Linked DNA regions of Struthio camelus. The protein of the gene in region 1 interacts with the protein of each later gene in a pairwise test. Links are inferred from orthologs where the notes say so. Each region holds a gene or a part of one and is shown on either strand. Other genes may lie near its edges. The genes, in order: TPP2, PPP1R16A and POLB.

Evidence for each region.
Region 2: the proteins of TPP2 (region 1) and PPP1R16A interact in binary tests that used the Homo sapiens proteins (3 or more experiments, as listed by UniProt). The two-hybrid records come from large-scale screens. The link is inferred for Struthio camelus from reciprocal best matches to the Homo sapiens genes TPP2 and PPP1R16A.
Region 3: the proteins of TPP2 (region 1) and POLB interact in binary tests that used the Homo sapiens proteins (3 or more experiments, as listed by UniProt). The two-hybrid records come from large-scale screens. The link is inferred for Struthio camelus from reciprocal best matches to the Homo sapiens genes TPP2 and POLB.

Annotation. Positions count from the first base shown.
Region 1 is NC_090942.1:162,708,166-162,711,909, reverse strand, and holds the start of TPP2 (tripeptidyl-peptidase 2), read left to right. Parts: upstream 1-1,123; 5' UTR 1,124-1,216; coding exon 1,217-1,378; intron 1,379-3,744. UniProt on the Homo sapiens protein: Cytosolic tripeptidyl-peptidase that releases N-terminal tripeptides from polypeptides and is a component of the proteolytic cascade acting downstream of the 26S proteasome in the ubiquitin-proteasome pathway.
Region 2 is NC_090943.1:172,443,950-172,447,693, forward strand, and holds the start of PPP1R16A (protein phosphatase 1 regulatory subunit 16A), read right to left. Parts: upstream 2,604-3,744; 5' UTR 2,580-2,603; intron 1-2,579. UniProt on the Homo sapiens protein: Inhibits protein phosphatase 1 activity toward phosphorylase, myosin light chain and myosin substrates.
Region 3 is NC_090968.1:7,954,677-7,958,420, reverse strand, and holds the start of POLB (DNA polymerase beta), read left to right. Parts: upstream 1-1,039; 5' UTR 1,040-1,168; coding exon 1,169-1,229; intron 1,230-1,298; coding exon 1,299-1,356; intron 1,357-1,552; coding exon 1,553-1,619; intron 1,620-2,204; coding exon 2,205-2,279; intron 2,280-2,797; coding exon 2,798-2,856; intron 2,857-3,434; coding exon 3,435-3,484; intron 3,485-3,744.

The DNA.
Region 1 (3,744 bases):
ATTTTGCGCAATAAAGCTCTCTGAACAGAAACTTGCCTGAGGAAAGCGCATTGATACTGAAATAACAAGAATGGATGGCACCTTTACTGCCAATTTATATGGCTAAAGCCGGGAGTCAGGCCCTATGAACAAGATTGCTTTTTTTAAGTGCTGTATTTGGTTTCTGAGATTCTACAGTTCATTCAGTTTTTGCTGGCAAGCTTTTCTGCAATCAGGAAAGCGGGACACCGACTTTAAAACCTCTCCTAAAGCTAAGATTTATGACTTATCTCGCCAAACATTTCATTTGGAGCTGTCAATAGCCTGCAGCTAGTCTTGTTTCCCTTAGAACTAAGTAGTTGCACAGGCATTAAATCGCAGCACGCTGTAAATACCGTTTATCCCTCCCACAGTAACGGAGGTAACAGTGCCCCGGGGGGGGGCAGCTCAACCGCATAACGTGTTTTTCGCGTACAAATCAATCAGCAGAAGAGGCAACGTTTGAATATTTATAAGTTTTCATGTTGTTTTTGTTCAGCGGGTGACGGGTACCCTTCGTGCGCCACTACTGGAGTTTCCTCTCAGCGCTGCCTGAGGGATTCCCCCCACGCCGCCCGCCCGCCGCCGCCGGCCCGAGGCTGGGACGGAAAACGGCGCCCGCCCGCGGCGGAGCCGTTTTCCCTGCTTAGGCGAGGCCCGCCCGCTTCGGGAGCAGGGGATTGAGGGCGGCCCAATCAGAGCTGGAGCCCGGCCTGCTCACACGGGAAGATGGCCGTAACCCCCCACCCCGGCCACGGCCGGTGTCCCCGCAGCTCTGCCAGCCATCCGCCACCCGCCTTTGCGCTCCGCTCCGCTCCGCTCCGCTCCCCTCCCCTCCCCACCCCACCCCCGCGTCTCAGGAAGGCAGGGAGGGCGCTGGTCACTTTAAGGGCGCGGCCCCCCCGTTCCTCTCCCGCCTCCCCCGCTCTTCTCCCCCCCTCCCCAGAAGTTCCAGCGCGTGGAGAATTTCCCTTTTCTGATTGGCTGCAGCGCCGCGGGCGGGCGCCAGGACGTTGCGTGGCCTTATTGGCTGGTTTAGGCCCGGTGCGCTCGCGTTCCGGGTCGCGCCAGGGTGCGCCCCTGGGGAGGGGGCGCGCGCATGCGCCCTGGCCTCCCCGCGCCCACTGCCCCCGCCCGCCGGCTGCGCTGTGCTCTCGCGCTGCCTGGCGGCGCGCGGCCCCCGTTTCCCTTTCCCATCATGGCGGCCGCCGTGGAGGAGCCGTTCCCTTTCCACGGCCTCCTGCCCAAGAAGGAGACCGGCGCCGCCGCTTTCCTCGCCCGCTACCCCGACTTCGACGGGCGGGGGGTGCTGTTGGCGGTGCTGGACACCGGCGTGGACCCCGGCGCCCCGGGCATGCAGGTAACGGGCGGTCGCGTGCGGCGGGAGGAGCCGCTTCAGGGCGGCGGCCCTGAGTCACCGCCGACAGGCAGCGGCGGCGCCGCGCCGGGACAGGGTGGCGGGCGGCCGTTGGCTGCGAGCGGGGAGCACGGAGCGGCCGGCCCGGCGGCTGCCGGAGCCCTGGAAGCCGCCGGGGGAGGGGGGGCGGGAGGAAGGAGGTCCCCGCGGAGGGGTCGTGCCGGGACGAGGCGTCTGGCGCCCCCACGGCGGCCGTGAGAGGCTTGCGGTTGTTGTTGTTGTTGTTTTCCTTAGGATTCCCGCTAAGCATTCATGCCCGTGCTGCATTAGTGTGAGCTCCGCGGAGGTCGGCTGTGGGAGAGCGGAGAAAATCCTGTAGATCTGTGTGTTTCCCTTCGGTTATTTGTAGGAGGTTTCTTCTTTTGAGCCTTCCACAGATGCCTTAGGGCACTTAATCCCTTTGGCTGTCTCCTTTTTCGCAGAACCTACTCGAAAAGAGTGCTTCGTATTTTTCTTAAACGTTAGCGTTATTTCAGTAGTAGCAAGGGAGTTCAAACAGCCACTTAAATGTTTTGTATGAAAAATGTGTTTTAGCAAATTTTGCATACCTTTGTTGTCAATGTATTTTTCTTGTATTGCAATCAAATTTTTTATCAGATTTGTATATGCTGACCTTTTTTTACATCTGCTAGCTTTGTCTATAGCTCAGAGTACACCCCATTTGTCATTACAATCTTGATCTCAGGTTTTGTAAAATTCTGTGTAGGTGATTTTTAATTTGGACGTTTCACAGTTTTTCCTTGATTCTTTCAGTATTTGCTTTTTAACATCTTCTTAATTATGCAGTGTATATATGGCCTTTTTTGTTGCTCCTACTTCCAACTTCTCTTCAGCATGTTTTCTGTCAGGATTCGGAGAGGGTTGTATGCAGCTCCCATGGGAACTGCATCCTTTATATAAGCAGGGATTGTGGTGGTTTCTGCTCTTTATTTGGCACTGGTGCAGATTTTACTCTTCAGTGACCTAGCTCAGAGGCCTAACTTTGATCTTTAAGTTCAGCTTTCTGAACTGACTCCTTGTGGGGTTCAGGTAAGTGTTTCACATGTGAAAGCAAAAAATCTGAATCTCTAGGGGTTGCGTATGTGAGGAACAAAGAAAGCATGAGTTTGCACGGTTGAGACTAAGACATGCTATAAAATATTTTAATTATATAGTAATTTCTTTTTTTAAAATTTTGGGGTGAAAACATTCTTTACATCTATAATAAATTCATTACTTAGAAAAAAATCAAATCATACAAAGAAAATTAATATCACTTAATTCTGCCCTCCCTTCCCCCCCGCCCCCAAGATAAAGGACTTCAAGGGAGAGGGGAAGACAAAAAAACAGTTGAACCGTAAGTTTCATTGTACCATTACTACTGGTGGGCAGTGTGCCAAACAATTCATGTCAGCACTGAAAGCTCTATCAGTTACTTTACGCTAAATGACTGTGAATCGGACTGGATCGCTGCCATTAGGAATTGAACCTTAGACCTTTGCACTTGAAACTCAAGTTTCTTGTGTCTGACCTGAAAGACTGATTTGTTGATTCTGATTGCACAGACATGTACGCATGTGGACCTGCTATTCATATAGAGGGTGACGATCTGTACGGTGTAGGAGTTTCACATAAAATTTCTGGCTAGGAAGGAACTTTTAAAGCTACTGAAATTCACTACAGCATAAATCTATGTTCTGGCCACCTGTTGCAGTATGACTCACCAGTGTCAAAGAGGTTGCCTTGGGTTGCAATTCCATTTTTATTTTCTTGCACTTTGATCGCTGAGCAATTTATTACTTTTTTTTTTTAGAGGTATATTGAAAAATGCCCAATTCTGATAATCTCAGGTTTAGCATGCATATAATTTATTATTGGTGGAATCCTCTTTTTGGCGTAACTTCTGTTCAAGGTTACCTGTTAACTTCTCTGTGAGTGAAGACTGGCATCTGAAGGGATTAATTACAGATGATAGAAAATTCTATGGTATAAATGCCTGTGCATGGAGTTTCCCAAGTAAATTTTCACTACTACATAGCTGCTGTTCTTCTAAATGAACGTGAATTTCTGTGAGCAGAGTTAACCGTGTTGATTTCTGCAGTGAAAACTGTTCCATAGCAGGTTTCCTCAAAGCAGTATTTGTTACCTTCTGGAAAACAGAAATTTGTCTCCTGTTTATACTTGTTGCAGTATCTTTTCTTACAGCTATTTAAATTTGGATTTTTCTAAACAATGAAAATTCAAAACCTTGGAGGTATTTGTCTGTATTTGTTGAACTCCAATGTAGGCTTGACCATTGTCTTGTCTTTTTTGGCAGCAACAGAGTGACT
Region 2 (3,744 bases), on another chromosome or scaffold:
CAGCTCGCTCCGGCTCCTCGCGCCGGAAGGGGACCTTCAGAGCAGCCAGCAGCGAACGCAAACCGATTAAAAGCGCCCGCCGGGCTCCGCGGCCGGCCGCGGCGCGCCCTCCCCGAGGAGGGGCCCCGCAGCCAGCGGGACGCCAGGAGCTGGGCAGCCTTCGCTCCCGCCGGCGTCCAGCGCGGCAGCAGTTAACGGCAGGACACGAAACCGCCAGCTTCAAGGTTCAAACTAATCTCTGGCTGCAGAGATTAGGACGAGACCTTCAAAGGGTGCAGATTATCCCACATTTGCTTACTTAGAGCTTTTCGGACGCTTCCTGGGAGGCAGCCGCAGCAGCTCCACGATACCGGCTACGGGGAGCCCCAGCCGAAATCCGAGTTAAATCTACGGTACTACTATGGGTTAACCACCAAGTTTTAACACGGCCCTTTCAGCGCTGGTTCGTATCAGTGCTGCCCATTACCTATGTCGTATCACAGGGCTTAACATACGCTCTTTTCAGACGCTTCTGATTTTTAATCGTTTAAACAGGGAATGATATTTTTTATTCACATCAAGCTACGTTTAGCTGGAAGTTAAAACGCACAAAAAGAACCCAAGAGAATGAATTATGCAAAACAGAACTGCCAAAACGAACTAGGCATACAAGAAAAGTAAATCATCAAAAAATTTGACATTTGAAACTAGCTAAAGCACAAAGAGTTTGACATTTGAAACTAGCCGAAGCACAAAGGGACAGGCCTGAAGAAGTTAAAGATTCCCCGCCATTTCCTATTCTGGAGACAACCGAAGGAGCAGCATCCTCACGCTCATTAAAATGGGTGGATGGCTCACATGCACAGAGCAGCTTCCTCGCTAAACGGCGTTAATGGACACCAGCAAACGCAGGCGGTAACGCCGGACATTACACTTTCAAATTTCTTTCCGACCGTGTACGCTTTTAAGAAAAAAAGCGCTCATCTTTTATTTATTGCTCTTCACATAACCAGCATCGATTCCCCAGGGGTAGAAACGGAGCAACGCGCTGACCCGGACCGATGAGCTCGGTGTTTCGCCGCAGCGGCCGCCCCGAGCGTCCCGCGGGAGCAGCGCTGCCCGCGCGAGGACGGAGGGCCCCCAGCCGAGGCCAGCCAGGGCTCAAGCGACCTAAGGCAACTACCTTAAAAGCGAGGCTCGGCGGGGAAAGGCGGGTGGCGTGGGATGGGCAGGGGAAGCCGGTCTCAGGCGTCCTCGTCCTCACCTAGGGCAGGCGAGGCCCCTGCGCTGGCAGCTCACGCCCAGGGAGGCTCTAGGAAAACAGGTTCTTACAGGTTTTTTAAATACCTGCCGAGGCATCCAGCCCGCCCGCGCGCCTCCTGCGCGGCCGGCTGGCGGGGGCAAGGCCGCGCCGGCCAGTGGCTTCACGCAGCGGCTCTCCGTCCCACCCGGACACCAGCCCGAAGCGGCACCTAACGCCCGGCTCCAGGAGGCGGGTCGGGGAAGACCACCTTCCCCGCTGTTTCCAAGTGTTTTCTCGCCCAGCTCAAGTCCCTCCGAGCTCCTCTCCCGGAGGAATACCCAACCCACGAGTGCTCCGAGCGGCTCCACGGAGATTTAGGCAGCCCCCAACTGCTCTGACACCCCCAAAGGCCCCCTAAGGAACCACTGGCCGCCCCACAGCCAGCGGCCAGGAGAGCCCCCAGGCTCCCCCGGCACACAGCACAGCCCGCCCGGCCCCGAAGGCTTCCCCCTGCCCCACGGAGGGACTCAGCCCCCCGCCACGGGCTTGGGGGCTCATCCACATCACCCTCCCGGTGATCCTGCCCCACTCGCCACGCACCCCCATGGGGGATTCAGCCCTCCCTGGGAGCCCCCAGGCCATCGCACCAGGGATGTCCCAAAATACACCCCGAGGGAGGGAGGGGGGCCCTCCACAGCTCATGTGGGCTGCCCCATGGGGGGGGACCCCCCACATCCCGAGGAGGAGGATCCCCACATCCCGGGGGGGGGGGACCACCGAAGGCCCTATGAGGGGAATCCCCCTGCATCCTGGGGGGGTCAACCCCGACATCCCAGGGGGGCCACCAAATGCCCCATGGGGAGATCCCGCCCATATCCGCCCCATATCCCGCAGGAGCCAAGCCCCATATGCCGGGGGGGGGGCACCAAATGCCCCCTGGGGGGGGATCCCCCCCCAGAGCCCAGCAGAAAGGCCCCCCCAAACACCTCAGCACCCTCCCCCCACATCCCTTGTCCCCAAATGCAGCACAGGGGGCAGGGAATGTCCCCCACAGCCGGGGGAGGGGGGAGACCCCCACACCCTGTGAGGGCCCAAACGCCCCACAGATGAGGGGATCCCCCCCACTACCCGGGGGAAAGCCCCCCCCACACCCCCTGGGGAGGGAGCATCCCACAGCCGGGGGAGGGGGGGACCCCCACACCCTGTGAGGGCCCAAACGCCCCACGGATGGGGGGGGGAAGGGAGCCCCCCCCCAAGCCCAGGGCCGCCCCTAGACGCCCCACGGAGGCGGCCCCGGTCCCCCCTCCCCGTCCCTGGCCCAGCCCGGGGGCTGCCCCCCCCCCCGCCGCGGCCCTACCTGCCGCCGCCGCCGCCGCCGCCGCCCTGCCCGGTGTCGTTCCCTGCTCGGGGCGGGGCCCGCGCGCGCCGCCGCCGCTCGCCATGGCAACCGGCCACACTTCCGGTCCAGGCCGGAAGGGGCGGGGCTCCGGCGGGAAGGGAGGGGGCGCCCCCCCCCCCCCGCTGAGCCGCCATGCGGAGCGTGGCTGGGCGCCACCCCGCCAGGCGGAGCGAGCTGCCACACTCAACATGGCGACGGGAAGGGAACGAGAGGGGAGCCCGGGGCATGCTGGGAGCGAGCGAGGGAGAGGCCGCCGCGGAGCGAGCGCCCCCTGCTGGCCGGCGGGGGGGGGCACGACCCTCTGCCCTGGGGTCACGGGGTCACCGCCGCCTGCCCTGGGGTCACAGCCCAAACTAGGGGTCATGGGGTCACAGCCCCCTGCCCTGGGGTCATGGGTGTCATGACCCACTGCCCTGGGGTCATGGGGTCACGGCCCCCTGCCATGGGGTCACAGGGGTCATGGCCCCCCCGGGGTCATGGGGTCACTGCCCACTGCCCTCAGGTCATGGGGGTCATAGCCCCCCTGGGGTCATGGGGTCACGGCCCCCTGCCCTGGGGTCACATCCCCACCTTGAGGTCATGAGGTCACTGCCCACTGTCCTGGGGTCACAGGGGTCATGGCCCCACCCTGGGGTCATGGGGTCACGGCCCCCTGCCCTGGGGTCACCAGGGCTCATGGGGGCCCAGGGATCATGGCCCCACCCTGGGGTCAAAGGGTCCCAGGGTCATGGGGGCCCCTGCCCTGGGGTCATGGGGGGATCACAGCCTCTGGCCCTGGGGTCACAGGGTCATGTGGGGTCACTGCCCCACCCTGGGGTCATGAGGTCCCAGGAGGTCACGACCCCCCACCCTGGGGTCAGGGGTCACAGTCCCCTTCGCTCTGGGGTCGGTGGAGGTCGGCACCCCTTGCAGAGCTCTGGGGTCCCGGGGGGACCCAGGGGGTCACAGCGGGTGCTCCCAGTGGGTCCCAGCCCCCAGCGTGGGTCCCAGTGCTCCCAGTGAGTCCCAGCCTTGGCTGCGGGTCCCAGTGGCTCCCAGTGGGTCCCAGTCATGGCCGTGGGTCCCAGTGCTCCCAGTGGCTCCCAGTCCCTGCCATGGGTCCCACTGGGTGCCTGTGGGTGCA
Region 3 (3,744 bases), on another chromosome or scaffold:
GCCTTCAGGTGGGCAGGAGAAATCCCGGCACTCGTAGCCACTCCAGGGACGCCCCCACCTCTCTGCCACGTTCCCGCACCGGGCTCTGCCAGCCTCCCCGCACCCCCAGGCTGTATCCGCGGGGGCGAGCGCACGCCTCGGCCCGCGCTGGGGAGGAACCGGGGCCCGAAAGGCGAGGCACGGGAAAAAGAAAGTCAAACCCGCGCTCCTGCTGTGGAGCCCCTCTGCTCTCCGCCTCCACGCAGCGACGGTCCTGGCGGGCAGGAAACATCCCAGGGCCCGCGGCCACCCGAAGGGACGCGCTCGCTTCACCGGGACCGGCGGCCCGCCCCCGCCGCTTCCGAGGGTAAGCGCGGCTCTGCTCGCCGCCATGCTGCTCCTGGGCACCGCGCATGCGCCGCCTCAGAGCGCGCCAGCGGCGGGGTGAGCGGCAGCGGGGCCGCTACCTCGAAGAGCGCCCTCCAGCGAGCCGGCTGGCTGCAGCCCGGCGCACTGCGCCCGATTGCGCATGCGCGGTATTGATAGCGGCTTTAACCGGTTGCTAGGAGAGCGGCACCGACCACGGCGAGAGCTCACTGCGCATGCGTACGCCGCCTGGCTACAGCCCCGCGTTGTGACGAAGCGCAGGTAGCAGGGACAGCGGTGCTGCAGTGCGCATGCGTGAGCCGCTCACCCAGTTTTTCCCCCTTGTAATCAAGAGAGGCGAGCAGCGGATTTCCCCGCACGAGTAGTTGCCGTGACCGTGTTGCTGCTTCCCGGTACTCACACATAGTCCCGAACGCACGGAGGCTGCACAGACCGCTGTCGAGACACGAGGCGGCACCAACGGGCAGAAACCCGCTGTGCCGTCGGCCGGGGAGCACCGAGAAGGGGCGGGAGCGCGGCCGGTTGCCGCAGCAGTACGAGCAACCGTGGAGCTCGGGCGGTCACGGCGGGCTGCAGTGCGCACGCGTCTCTGGCTGGTGCCGCGCCGAGGCGGGCGGCGAGCAGCAGGGGCCACGGTTTCTGACGTCACTGGCGACGCTCCGCCCTGGGGCAGGAGTACGCATGCGCATTGAAGGCGGCCGTGCTTTGCTGAGGTCACTGCCGGAAGCGCCGCGTTGCGGTATCCGGTTCTCCCCCCGCCGGCCGCTCTGGTCTCCCGCGGCCGGGTCCGCGAGCGTCCGGGATGAGCAAGCGGAAGGCCCCGCAGGAGAGCCCCAACGAGGGCATCACGGACTTTCTCACCGGTGGGTGATGACCGGGGCGTACGGGACTACGGCGGGGTTGGCTTGCTCTAACGGTGTCTTCCCCTGTAGAGCTGGCGAACTACGAGCGGAACGTGAACCGTGCTATTCACAAGTACAACGCATACAGGTATCGCGGCCCGCCCCCGCGCCGGGGCCTTCCCCGCGCCGGGGCCCGCTCCCCCCCCCCCCACCTCACTGCCTGTTCCCGGGATCCGGCCCACTCACCTGCGCCCCCCTGTCGCGTCGGAGGGGGGCACTGCTCCCCCCGACGGAGGTGGCAGTGCTGCTGCCTGGTTCAGTCGCTGACTGGTGCTGTTTTGCAGAAAAGCAGCCTCTGTGATTTCCCGGTATCCCAGCAAGATCCAGAGTGGGGCTGAGGCCAAGAAGCTGGTAGGTGCCTGTACCATGGTGGTAGGGCCTCAGGTTGGCAGGGGCTATGATGCCAGGGGCTCCTGGAAGGGGCAGGAGCAGCACGGGATCAACCCTGCCTGTGACAGCTCTGCTGCCCTTCCCCTTTCCAGTGATGTCTGGGTCAGGGCTCAGAGGTGGGCGTGGGGTTGGCTGCAGTGGGGAGTGCTGTAGAGGTTTCATGGCCGGAACTGCAGGCACCCGGTCCATCTGGCTGCAGCCCTACTTGTAAAAGGCTGCCGTTGGGGAAAAATTCCCCTTTATTCTGTTACTGCCCTGCTAACCTTTGGGCCTTTAGTTGTAAGAGTCAAAGCCTGGTTTCAAACAATTGCTTTCAGGAGACTTTTAATACAGCCCTTCATTTATGATGGTTGATGCAGCTTGCGTTTTACCATGGAGTACTGCACTACTTCATGATCTCAATGACCTCCTAATTCTTACTGGACTCTAAATTCTGTGTTGTAACTTCTATTGTTGGGTGTTTTTTTTTTTCTTAGCTATAGTGGCTATAAATGATTTGGAAGTTAACTTCTTGTTCTCCCCACCCCTTCTTCTTCCAATATTTAGGATGGAGTAGGTGCTAAAATAGCTGAGAAGATAGATGAGTTTTTATCCACTGGAAAACTACGCAAATTGGAAAAGGTGGGCTTCTTTCCTGTGCACTATACTTCACAATAGTTGCTTTTCTTTGCACTTTGCAAAGTAGCCTATTTACTTTGTGAAACTTTGGGGATTATCTTTGGCGAAACTGATGTCAAACCTGAGAATGGTGGATAGGGAATTTATGGGGAGTAGAAATTGGGGAACAAGAAGCTCAGCTGAAGCCTCAAAACTACCTGTTCCTGAAAAAATTTTGGATAATATCATCAGCATATGAACGTCTTCACAGTCTTCCGGATCCAGACTTCCATTTCTCAGAGGAGTTTTGAGTTTTAAATGTGCTGTTTACCTTAGCATAGGTAGTTAGGGCAGAGGGTTTTCAGGCTTGGTATCTATGGCGTTGCCATGGTGCACAATATTACTCTTCGTTCTGCTTTGCTTTGATTTATAGTAAGCCTCCAAAACAGAATCTGAATGGGCAGTATTATCTTCTCAAGTTTTTTGTCTTTATTGCAAGTGGAGTGCAGAAGGGTTTGGTCTGTGTTCTTTCATTTTTCCAGATTCGTCAAGATGATACAAGTGCATCTATCAACTTTCTGACCCGAGTTACTGGCATCGGGTAAAGCTTTCTCTTTGCCCCCCTTTCTCCCGCTTGCTCGCTCTTTGCACCTGCTTTTGGGGAAGAAAGGGCAACCGTTCACTTAAGTATGGTGCTAATGACAAACTCTCCAGCCAAACTGGAGTTTGGACTGCTTTGCTGTACTGTAGGCTGCAGGCCGGAGCCTCATTTCTTAAGTGCTGGTTCAAATACAATCCTGTTGCTGTGGCTACAATTTGGCTCAAAGACTGATTATGTTTAAAGTAGTCCTTATCATGCATGCGATTAGATCCCAGTGTTGTTGGCTAAAGCAATATTCCTTATTTGGTGAGGGTGTTTTTTTCTTTCTTTTTTCTTTAAACAATTGTATAGCACTATATAGTTGTATCAATACTAAAAATGTGCAGCCCAAGCCTTGGATACCCATCTCTGCTAACTGAAAGTACAGACTACAGATATGTGTGCCAAGTGTACGGCAAGCATCAGAAGTGACTTTCGTCTTGGTCTTGAAGAAGCTAGAGGATTATAATGAATTCTAATGTTCTATTCAGTGTTACGAGATTCTTACTGTTTCTGATTGCAAATTGGTCTCTTTGCAGTCCTGCTGCTGCTAGGAAGTTTGTAGAGGAAGGAATTAAGACTTTAGAGGGTGAGTGTATGTCATATGCTGTCTTTGGGTCCTCAGTTCACACTGCAGTATCACTTCTTCTGTCCAGCTGCCTGTCTCAGAGTGGTACTGTGATAGCAATTACATCTAGTTTTTGATGAAAGCGCTTTAAAAAAATAAAGTTATTGCACAGAGTGAACGCATTATACCTTCCAGAGTAAGATGCTTACAGACTTCACAGAAAACAACATGGATTTTGTCACACAGACGAATGGCCTGTTGAAGTCAGGCTTTATCAGACA